Arabidopsis thaliana: one gene and its partner. The protein of the gene in region 2 interacts with the protein of the main gene of each other region in a pairwise test. Each region holds a gene or a part of one and is shown on either strand. Other genes may lie near its edges.

Region 1 (4,610 bases), on a different chromosome or scaffold from region 2:
CTCAAGATCACTACCCGTAAAGCTCCTTGTGGTGAAGGTATGATGATTATGCTCATCTCATCTTTTATATTGCCTTCAGAATCACTAGAGCTTGTTGTTGGAACCACTCCCTTAGTTCATTTGCTCTATTAAACCTAGGATTTAGGTCTTAGAATTTGTGATTGTGCTCAATACTGTTTTATACTCTGTCACTGCAAGTGTCTTCACATTTGCTGAAACTCTCTTAACTATTGGTATTGTAAACAGGAACCAACACATGGGACAGATTCGAGCTTAGGGTACACAAGCGAGTTATAGATCTTTTCAGCTCTCCTGATGTGGTCAAGCAGATCACCTCCATCACCATTGAACCTGGTGTTGAAGTTGAGGTCACCATCGCTGACTCGTAGATCAACCCTTCTGTGGCTTTGGTATCTCTTTTCAAATTCTCTTAAGAAACAATCTTCTTTTCCCGTAACGACATTCCTTTTGAGTTAAAAAAAAAACAAATGTTTTGTTGTAGTGAAACCCAAGTTCTTATGTTTTCTTAATTTAATAGATTTTGAATTTTTTAATTAGAAGTTCGTCCTTTATTCTTAACTTGAGATCTTTTGACCCTCTCGATGACATAACTCTGTATGAAGTTACCAACTTGCTATCTCATTTCAAATTGAGAGATCTATTACGAGAAAGATTAAAGTTTAATCAGCCATAAATTGAAAAGCTAAGTATCACGAACATAATACTTTATCGTTGAACATAATACAACTCTTTCATCGTTAAAATAACACAACTACTATGTTTTCGAGTACAATTGTGAAGAGTCTAGTGATCTTTGGTCTCACTTTCATGAACCATCTCTTCAGCATCCTCAAACCTCTGATCATTGATTTGGAGCTGCAGTGTGAATACAAAAGGCAGATGAAACCACGCTCAATTTTTTAAAAACAAAAAAAGAGGAAAAATTGAAAGCAGAGTTTTGTAACTTTGTATTACCTCAAGCATAGGCTGATTAAGACCTTCATCTCCATTGGAATGACCAATTACACTAGTCGGACTCTGAGATATTTGCCACTCTGCATCATCATCTGTTGCAAACACATAGAAAACCATCACATTTCATTCGTACCATTCAAGATGAATACATTAACACACTCTTTAATTCGGTCTAAGTCATATGAAAACATTAATTACCTCCTCCACGAACATCCATCTGATCAGCACTAAACACCCAATTATGTCCGCTTTCTTCTTCTTCTTCTGAAAGATGCAATGAAACCAAAGATATAAATGGCTAGGTAACCAAAAAATGCAATTAGTGATACTATTAAACCAGTAATTATATGTTTTACCTTGAACTGGTTCAGGATTCAGCTCAGCACACTCGCAGAATACATCAAACAGCGTCTCCACTTTCATATGACAAGACAAAACGATATATCAGCTTAATAATATCCAAGACTCTTATATAATGAAACAGCCGATTCTAATAGCTCTAAAGATTGCTACATAACAACTCACACTGGGTAGAGTCAGAAGGAACAAGCCTCATCTCTCTGATCTTTGATAAGTCCAAAACTTCAGTGGATTCTGAATCAGACTCATCATCCTCATCTTCTTCAACTTCAATCTTCAAAACATTAAACCAAAAACTTAGCAAAATGAGAACAGAAAAGACTTAATCACACCTCTCAAATCCAATTAAAACGTGTAAGCCACTTTCTCAAATTCCAGCAAGCACTTGCAACAAGCAACATTACAGTACAGGCCTAAGAACTAATCACAATCAACGAGAACAACACTAATTCCCTTTTAAGCTACCAAGTCTAACAAAACCCAGAAAAATTGCAAGAGTTGAATACCTGAGTATATATACAAGGAGATGAATAAGCCTCAGGATCTCTAGAAACAGCGTGAAGCGATATTGATAAGAAATCAACTGCGTATCCTTTAGCCATGTCTACATCGCTCAGCCAAATTAATTTCCTGAAATCAAATCACAAAATTAAGCTAAGACATTTATCTCAATCGAGAAGGACTAGATTTTGAGTTAATTTTTGTACCTGGAAGTGATGTAGAGAGTTCCGGGAGACTCAATGGGACGGTTTCCGAGAGCGACGGCGACGGAAGTCTGAACGTGCATAAGTTCCTCGCCGTTAGATTCATCCAGTACCGGTTTCCCGGAGCCATCTTCGGTTCTGAGCGTGAAATCTCTTAGACCAGCCACCATTTTTTCCGATCACAAAGAAAGAATCGTCAAAAAAAACAGAGATTTTCAGGCAGGGTTTTTCTTAGGGTTTCTCAGAGGAATGATTTGTTACGTTTACTGATGAAGAACACTACAAGGCTTTTGACAAAATGGGCTTCGTTAAAAAAGCCCATACTACATTAAAACATAAGCCCACTAAACTATTGAGATCAGATAAGTCTCTCTGGTGGTCCATTTCCCTTGAACCTTTTTTGTTACTTTGTGTGAATGTAATGTTTGGTTGTTGATTAATGTTGTTTCGAATAAATTTTGTTATGTAAATATATTTATGGGTGAAAAATGTCGTTGTCTTTGAGAGTGATGAGGTGTGGGAGATGATGGATAAGGAAGAGATGGGGGTGGTCATTCATGGGGATAGGGGAAGGTTATGGGACATATAGAGATTGTGACAATGCTTTATATTAATGAACGGATCATTGTCAACAACGACTCTTCTCTTCAAATTGTTATCTATTTTCTTAACGGAGATGTCGGTTGATAAAAATAATATACATTCATTACGAGTTGTCTACTTCGAAGAAGGAGTTTATTTGGTGCCTCCCAGCTATGTGCACAAGCCTAGTTGAATTCAATGACTTATAAGTTTAGGTCGATGAGAATTTGGATCATATATCTAAAAGTACTGTAGAAGATTATGTTTTACCTTTGGGCATAGATTTGATTCAATGAGAAATGGAACGACCAAAAGTCGAAAGAATCGGACCAAAGTAAAACCATTCCTTAGAGATGATGAACTTCATTATATAGTGAATTCCAAGACAATGATTAACAAAATCACATAAGAATTAATTAGATTTTGGTAGTTCATCTTCAATATAAGAACTACGTTAATTTTTCGTCTTTACGGATTTCACTATATATTAATCTTCTTGGTTTTATAATAAAGGTAACGGTGATGAAAAAAAGAAGAAGATCTTTTTAAAATACAATTTTAAGGCAAACGAATACATGTCTGAAGACCCTATATACTATTACTAATATCTGTTTGACGTGCTTGTCGGTTTTAAATAGTGTCAACAAAAAAAATTAGACTCAACAACTCAATAATATACGTTTTTTTTTGTCAATTCTCAATAATATACGTCTACATCTATTTTGAGAATCTGTATAAGACAGCTAAATACATATGCTTACTTTAATGTTTCATTATATTAGTTTCAGATGCCATCTCTCATGCATGCATGTGCATTTTTTGAATATCTTATTTGCTAAACATCCAAAATCTGAAGAATAACAATGCGTGTACATATGCTCAAGAAAAGACAAAAAAAAAAAAAAAAAAAATCCAAAATCAGAGAGAAGTTTAAACCAAAACACATCATTTCATATTTACACTTACAAAAAAAGTCATTTACTCGAAAAACATAGACTTTTTCACTCTTCTCACCACACAAAATACTCCAAAGCCAATCAAAACTCTCTTAATATAATTACTTATACAAAATAACTAATCATCTTCTTAATTACTACTTTCACTCGTCTGAACCATCACAGAGGTGATCATCTTTGCTCTAACGTACCCAATAATCTATAAGATTTGAATTTAAGCTTCAATAATGGCTTCTCCTCGGGGAACCCTAACCCTAAACACATGTTCCTCTCCAGTGCACTTATCAACCTTCACCACCCAACGACTCTTCCTCATCACTTGGTCACGATGGTGATTTTTCATCATCATCTTCTGATTATCATTGACCCTCGTCACAAGTAACCCTTCTCCTATAGGTAAAAACTGCGTTTTCCTTCCATCGCTAAACCTCCATGACCCTCTCGAAAACGCGTTATAACCCACCACAACCGCCACACCGCTTCCACCCCCGGTTCTTGCGTTTTCTTCGTGATGATTAAGGATTTTTCCAACGATCTCTTGGTGGTTTTCGAGGTTACAATCCACGAGGACGAAATCTGCTTCTCCGAAATGATTATTGATTAGAGTGTCGTCGTTAGATTCTCCGACTACGAATTGTATCTGATGAATCTCTGATGGTTCCAACATTTTTTGGGATATGATTAGTTCTTCGATACCACGTAAAACGCATACAACTTGACCACGCGTTTGGTTAGCCGCTGCGATTAGTGCAACGAGTATGTCGGCGTTTGCTGCTCCGGCGCAAGCCACGGCTATCTTTCTAGCGCTATTTCCGGCGGCTAGGGCTGATATGAATTCGGCGACGTTTGGTTCTTTTGTCCTTTGATCCTGAAAATGCATATAGAGAAATATGTCAAAATGTGACATTAACTAATCTTTTATCGTAATTTGAAACAATATCACGGGTAAATGTTTTGGTTATAAGAATAAACTCTTACCGTTTTCAATGTACTAAGATAGGCTTTAGTAGCATTCTCAGCAGACCAAAAAGCC
Region 2 (4,335 bases):
ATACATTGCACAGAAACTTGAGTGGGAACAATCTTAGCGGCTCAATTCCTCAAAGCCTTCTCAACATGGAAAAGAATGGGCTAATAACGTTGCTGTATAATGGAAATAACCTCTGTTTGGATCCATCATGCGAAAGTGAAACTGGTCCTGGGAATAACAAAAAGAAATTGCTAGTACCTATTCTTGCATCAGCTGCTTCTGTGGGAATTATTATAGCTGTGCTTCTTCTCGTCAACATTCTCTTACTTAGAAAGAAGAAGCCATCCAAAGGTAAGCTCAGGACTAATTAAAACTCATTAACTTCAAATTTGTACTTAAGTATATAATGTATGGTATATAATAGCTTCACGCTCATCAATGGTGGCGAACAAGAGAAGCTATACTTATGAAGAGGTTGCGGTAATTACAAACAATTTTGAGAGACCTCTTGGCGAAGGAGGATTTGGAGTCGTGTACCACGGTAATGTAAATGATAACGAACAAGTGGCTGTAAAGGTGCTCTCTGAATCCTCAGCTCAAGGATATAAGCAATTTAAAGCTGAGGTACCTTCACTATCATTAAGTTTAATTATTCATATACTCAAATAAAATGTATATATATGATTTACCAACTTTTGGGTTACTTGTGGTTTGCTAGGTAGACCTTCTTCTCAGAGTACACCACATAAATTTAGTAACTCTTGTTGGTTATTGTGACGAAGGACAACACTTGGTCCTCATCTACGAGTACATGTCCAATGGAAACTTAAAACAACATCTATCTGGTAACCTTGATTACCTAATTTGTTTCTAAACACAATGATCGTGTGTCATCTTATAACATACACACATCTTTATGAGTACAGGAGAAAATTCTAGGTCCCCTTTGAGTTGGGAAAATAGGCTAAGAATTGCTGCAGAGACAGCACAAGGTTCGTTTGAAGTTTTGAGAAAAAGATAACATTGCAAATTTTTTGAGATGTTCACTTCTCTTGGTGAGTTTTGAAATAAACCTTTTATGAGTTGTATTATATAGGACTGGAGTACTTGCATATCGGCTGCAAACCACCAATGATTCATAGAGATATCAAATCTATGAATATACTTCTTGATAATAATTTCCAGGCCAAACTTGGTGATTTCGGGCTTTCAAGATCTTTTCCGGTGGGAAGTGAAACTCATGTGTCAACAAATGTTGCTGGATCTCCAGGTTATCTTGACCCTGAGTAAGTGGTCTATAACAATACTTAATGAACTTAAGTTGTGTCTTTCTCTTTCCATCTGGTAAATTTTTTATTCATTCGTATTATAGATATTACCGAACAAACTGGTTGACAGAGAAGAGTGATGTCTTCAGTTTTGGAGTCGTATTACTGGAAATCATCACAAGTCAGCCAGTGATTGACCAAACTCGTGAGAAGTCTCACATAGGAGAATGGGTGGGATTTAAGTTAACCAATGGAGATATCAAAAATATTGTGGATCCAAGTATGAACGGTGATTATGACTCTAGTTCATTGTGGAAGGCTCTTGAGTTAGCAATGTCATGCGTCAGTCCATCTTCATCCGGAAGACCAAATATGTCCCAGGTTGCTAATGAACTACAAGAGTGTCTCTTAACTGAGAACTCAAGGAAAGGAGGGAGACATGACGTGGACTCCAAGAGTTCTCTTGAACAGAGCACAAGCTTTGGTCCTGAACATATCCCTGATGCACGCTAGTTCATGCCAAGTTCAGGAATACACGTGTGTTTTGAATAACAAAATATTTCCTTATTCAATGTATCAGATTTGTTTTAATCTTGTTGAACTTTACACATTTGTTCCCGATTAAACTTTGACATTTGCTGATTTGCTCCATAAAATAAGCTTAGTGAAACTTGGAGCCTCAAACTAACAAATATTGTAGCCTATTCAACTAATTGCAGCCCAAGTCCAATATGTTTGGGCCCATAATGAAAGTAAGCCCATAAACAAGAGTGTATTCATTTATAAACCCTAGAAATTTCCCACTTCCCGATTTGCACAGCCAAACCCCCCCAATTTTGGCCTCTCGATTTAGTTTTTTGAAACCCTAAGCTCGATTTCGATCCTCCGGCATACTCGGTTTCGCCGCCGAATCTCTGCTTGTAGCGAGTGTTACTATTCAATCGGCGAGAATGTCGATGTCGAAGAGTTCAAAGATGCTTCAGTTCATCAACTACAGGATGCGAGTGACGATCCAAGACGGAAGACAGCTCGTTGGGAAGTTCATGGCGTTTGACCGTCACATGAACCTCGTTCTCGGCGATTGCGAGGAGTTTCGTAAGCTTCCACCAGCTAAAGGGAAGAAGATCAACGAAGAGCGTGAAGATCGCCGTACGCTAGGTTTAGTGTTGCTTAGAGGTGAAGAAGTTATCTCAATGACTGTCGAAGGACCACCTCCTCCTGAAGAATCTCGTGCTAAAGCTGGCTCTGCAGCTGCTGTTGCTGGTCCAGGAATTGGCCGTGCCGCTGGGCGTGGAGTTCCTACTGGTCCGTTAGTTCAAGCTCAGCCTGGTTTATCTGGTCCTGTTCGTGGTGTTGGTGGACCTGCTCCGGGAATGATGCAGCCTCAGATCTCTCGTCCACCACAGCTTTCAGCTCCTCCGATTATTCGACCTCCGGGACAGATGTTGCCACCGCCTCCTTTTGGTGGTCAAGGTCCTCCTATGGGAAGAGGTCCTCCACCGCCTTATGGTATGAGGCCACCGCCACAGCAGTTTTCTGGACCACCACCGCCTCAGTATGGGCAAAGGCCAATGATTCCTCCTCCTGGTGGTATGATGAGAGGACCTCCTCCTCCACCTCATGGAATGCAAGGACCTCCTCCGCCTCGCCCTGGAATGCCTCCTGCTCCTGGTGGTTTTGCTCCACCGCGTCCTGGCATGCCACCACATAATCAGCAGCAGTGATTAGGTTAGCAGTGAATGAACAGGACTCTTGTCTCGGCTTTTTACTGTTTTTGTCGCTGTTTTCTTGAGATTATGAAGGCTTTAAGATGTTTGATTGAACTTCCTCAGGTTTACGGTATCGTGCTATCATGTTGCCTTTCATTGACTTTAGCCGCAATTTCTCATCTATCTTAGCTTTCAAAGTTTGTAGATTTGTTGACGAGTGAGTTGTCTTTGCCTTATCTTCTTGTGTTTTCTTTTAAGAACGAATCCATTAAACTTTGTTATGTCTTCTTAAGGTAAACATCTATCTTGAGGATCGTTTTACATTGCTAACTCTTTTGAGGTTGAAACAGCAACTTTCTTGCGCCATTTCGAGGAACTTAATAACATCTTAGAAAGCTAGAAACTAAGCTAGTGATCACATCTGAATCTTACTCGAACAAGGGCTAAATCGGTTCTACTATTGATCACCTCTCTTGTCCTTGTTTATGGATTGTTTAGGTAGAAGTCAAAACCTTGTTTAGGGAGCTATGGATGTTGTGATGAATCGTGGATACATTCAGCTATTTGTGATGAAGAACTCGTCGATCTATAAAAAGATTAACAAGTCACATTACCTTGCAATTTTGGATATAGTTCAAATCTAACCAAAATTCTGTTGGTTCAGTTTGGTTGGGTTTCACATTCTTACATATGTTAATTTTGATGAAATGAAATTGTGAATTAGTGTGGTTAGTTGAATGGTAAGTAATACTTGTTTATAGTGAATTATTTTTCAGAACTTTCAATTATTCAATAAGGCTTGGTCACTAACCAAGATTTGACAAGTGAGAACGTATACAAATGGTGTTGACTTACACTGCACACTGCGATTGTTTGGCTGTGTAAGAATTGTGCCGTTGAAGGTTAAAGATAGAAAACAAAACAAAAGTACGAAAGGTAATAAAAAAAAGTCAAAAACATAGGTGTGAGTGTGACCCATTAACACTCCTAATGATGCTTCACGTTAACCCCACCATTGCTAAATCTCAGCTTTATAATTTTAAAAGATCAAAAGAATATTACAAGGCTGCGACAACTTTAAAGGTTAATATATAGTCGTTACTTGTTTATTTCTTAATCGGAGATTCGGTATGATACTCATTATTACGGATTGGAGTTTTCATTTAGTATCAGACTATTTCTTATTGATAAGGTTTATATACATGCTTAAAATCAAGAAAAATCGAATACTTGTTATTGTTACATTGTTTTCTTTTAAAATTTCAGTGCAAAACTGTGGAACTGAATTAAGTAAAAAAACTATAAAGAGGATAGAAATGGGACCCGACGACAAGTTCCAACAGCTAAATTTTGCAAAACTCTGGTTTTTCAATAACACTGTGCTCGTCCTTTTCATTGCCTCTTTCGTTCTGGGACCCTGTGGTGTAGTTAAAACGTTC

The links.
Region 1: the proteins of smB (region 2) and AT5G62290 interact in a two-hybrid assay, tested with the Arabidopsis thaliana proteins (one large-scale study listed by BioGRID).

Annotation. Positions count from the first base shown.
Region 1 is NC_003076.8:25,017,167-25,021,776, reverse strand, and holds AT5G62290 (nucleotide-sensitive chloride conductance regulator (ICln) family protein), read right to left. Parts: upstream 2,603-4,610; 5' UTR 2,210-2,602; coding exon 2,043-2,209; intron 1,966-2,042; coding exon 1,842-1,965; intron 1,610-1,841; coding exon 1,501-1,609; intron 1,392-1,500; coding exon 1,332-1,391; intron 1,240-1,331; coding exon 1,174-1,239; intron 1,068-1,173; coding exon 976-1,067; intron 877-975; coding exon 805-876; 3' UTR 646-804; downstream 1-645. Other genes in the region: AT5G62300 (Ribosomal protein S10p/S20e family protein), read left to right, coding at 1-37, 247-389; AT5G62280 (DUF1442 family protein (DUF1442)), read right to left, coding at 3,792-4,445, 4,556-4,610. UniProt on the Arabidopsis thaliana protein: May participate in cellular volume control by activation of a swelling-induced chloride conductance pathway.
Region 2 is NC_003075.7:11,021,419-11,025,753, reverse strand, and holds smB (small nuclear ribonucleoprotein associated protein B), read left to right. Parts: upstream 1-1,902; 5' UTR 1,903-2,137; coding exon 2,138-2,911; 3' UTR 2,912-2,915; exon of another isoform or gene 2,916-3,019; 3' UTR 3,020-3,718; downstream 3,719-4,335. Other genes in the region: AT4G20450 (Leucine-rich repeat protein kinase family protein), read left to right, coding at 14-270, 344-543, 638-764, 846-911, 1,016-1,205, 1,292-1,700.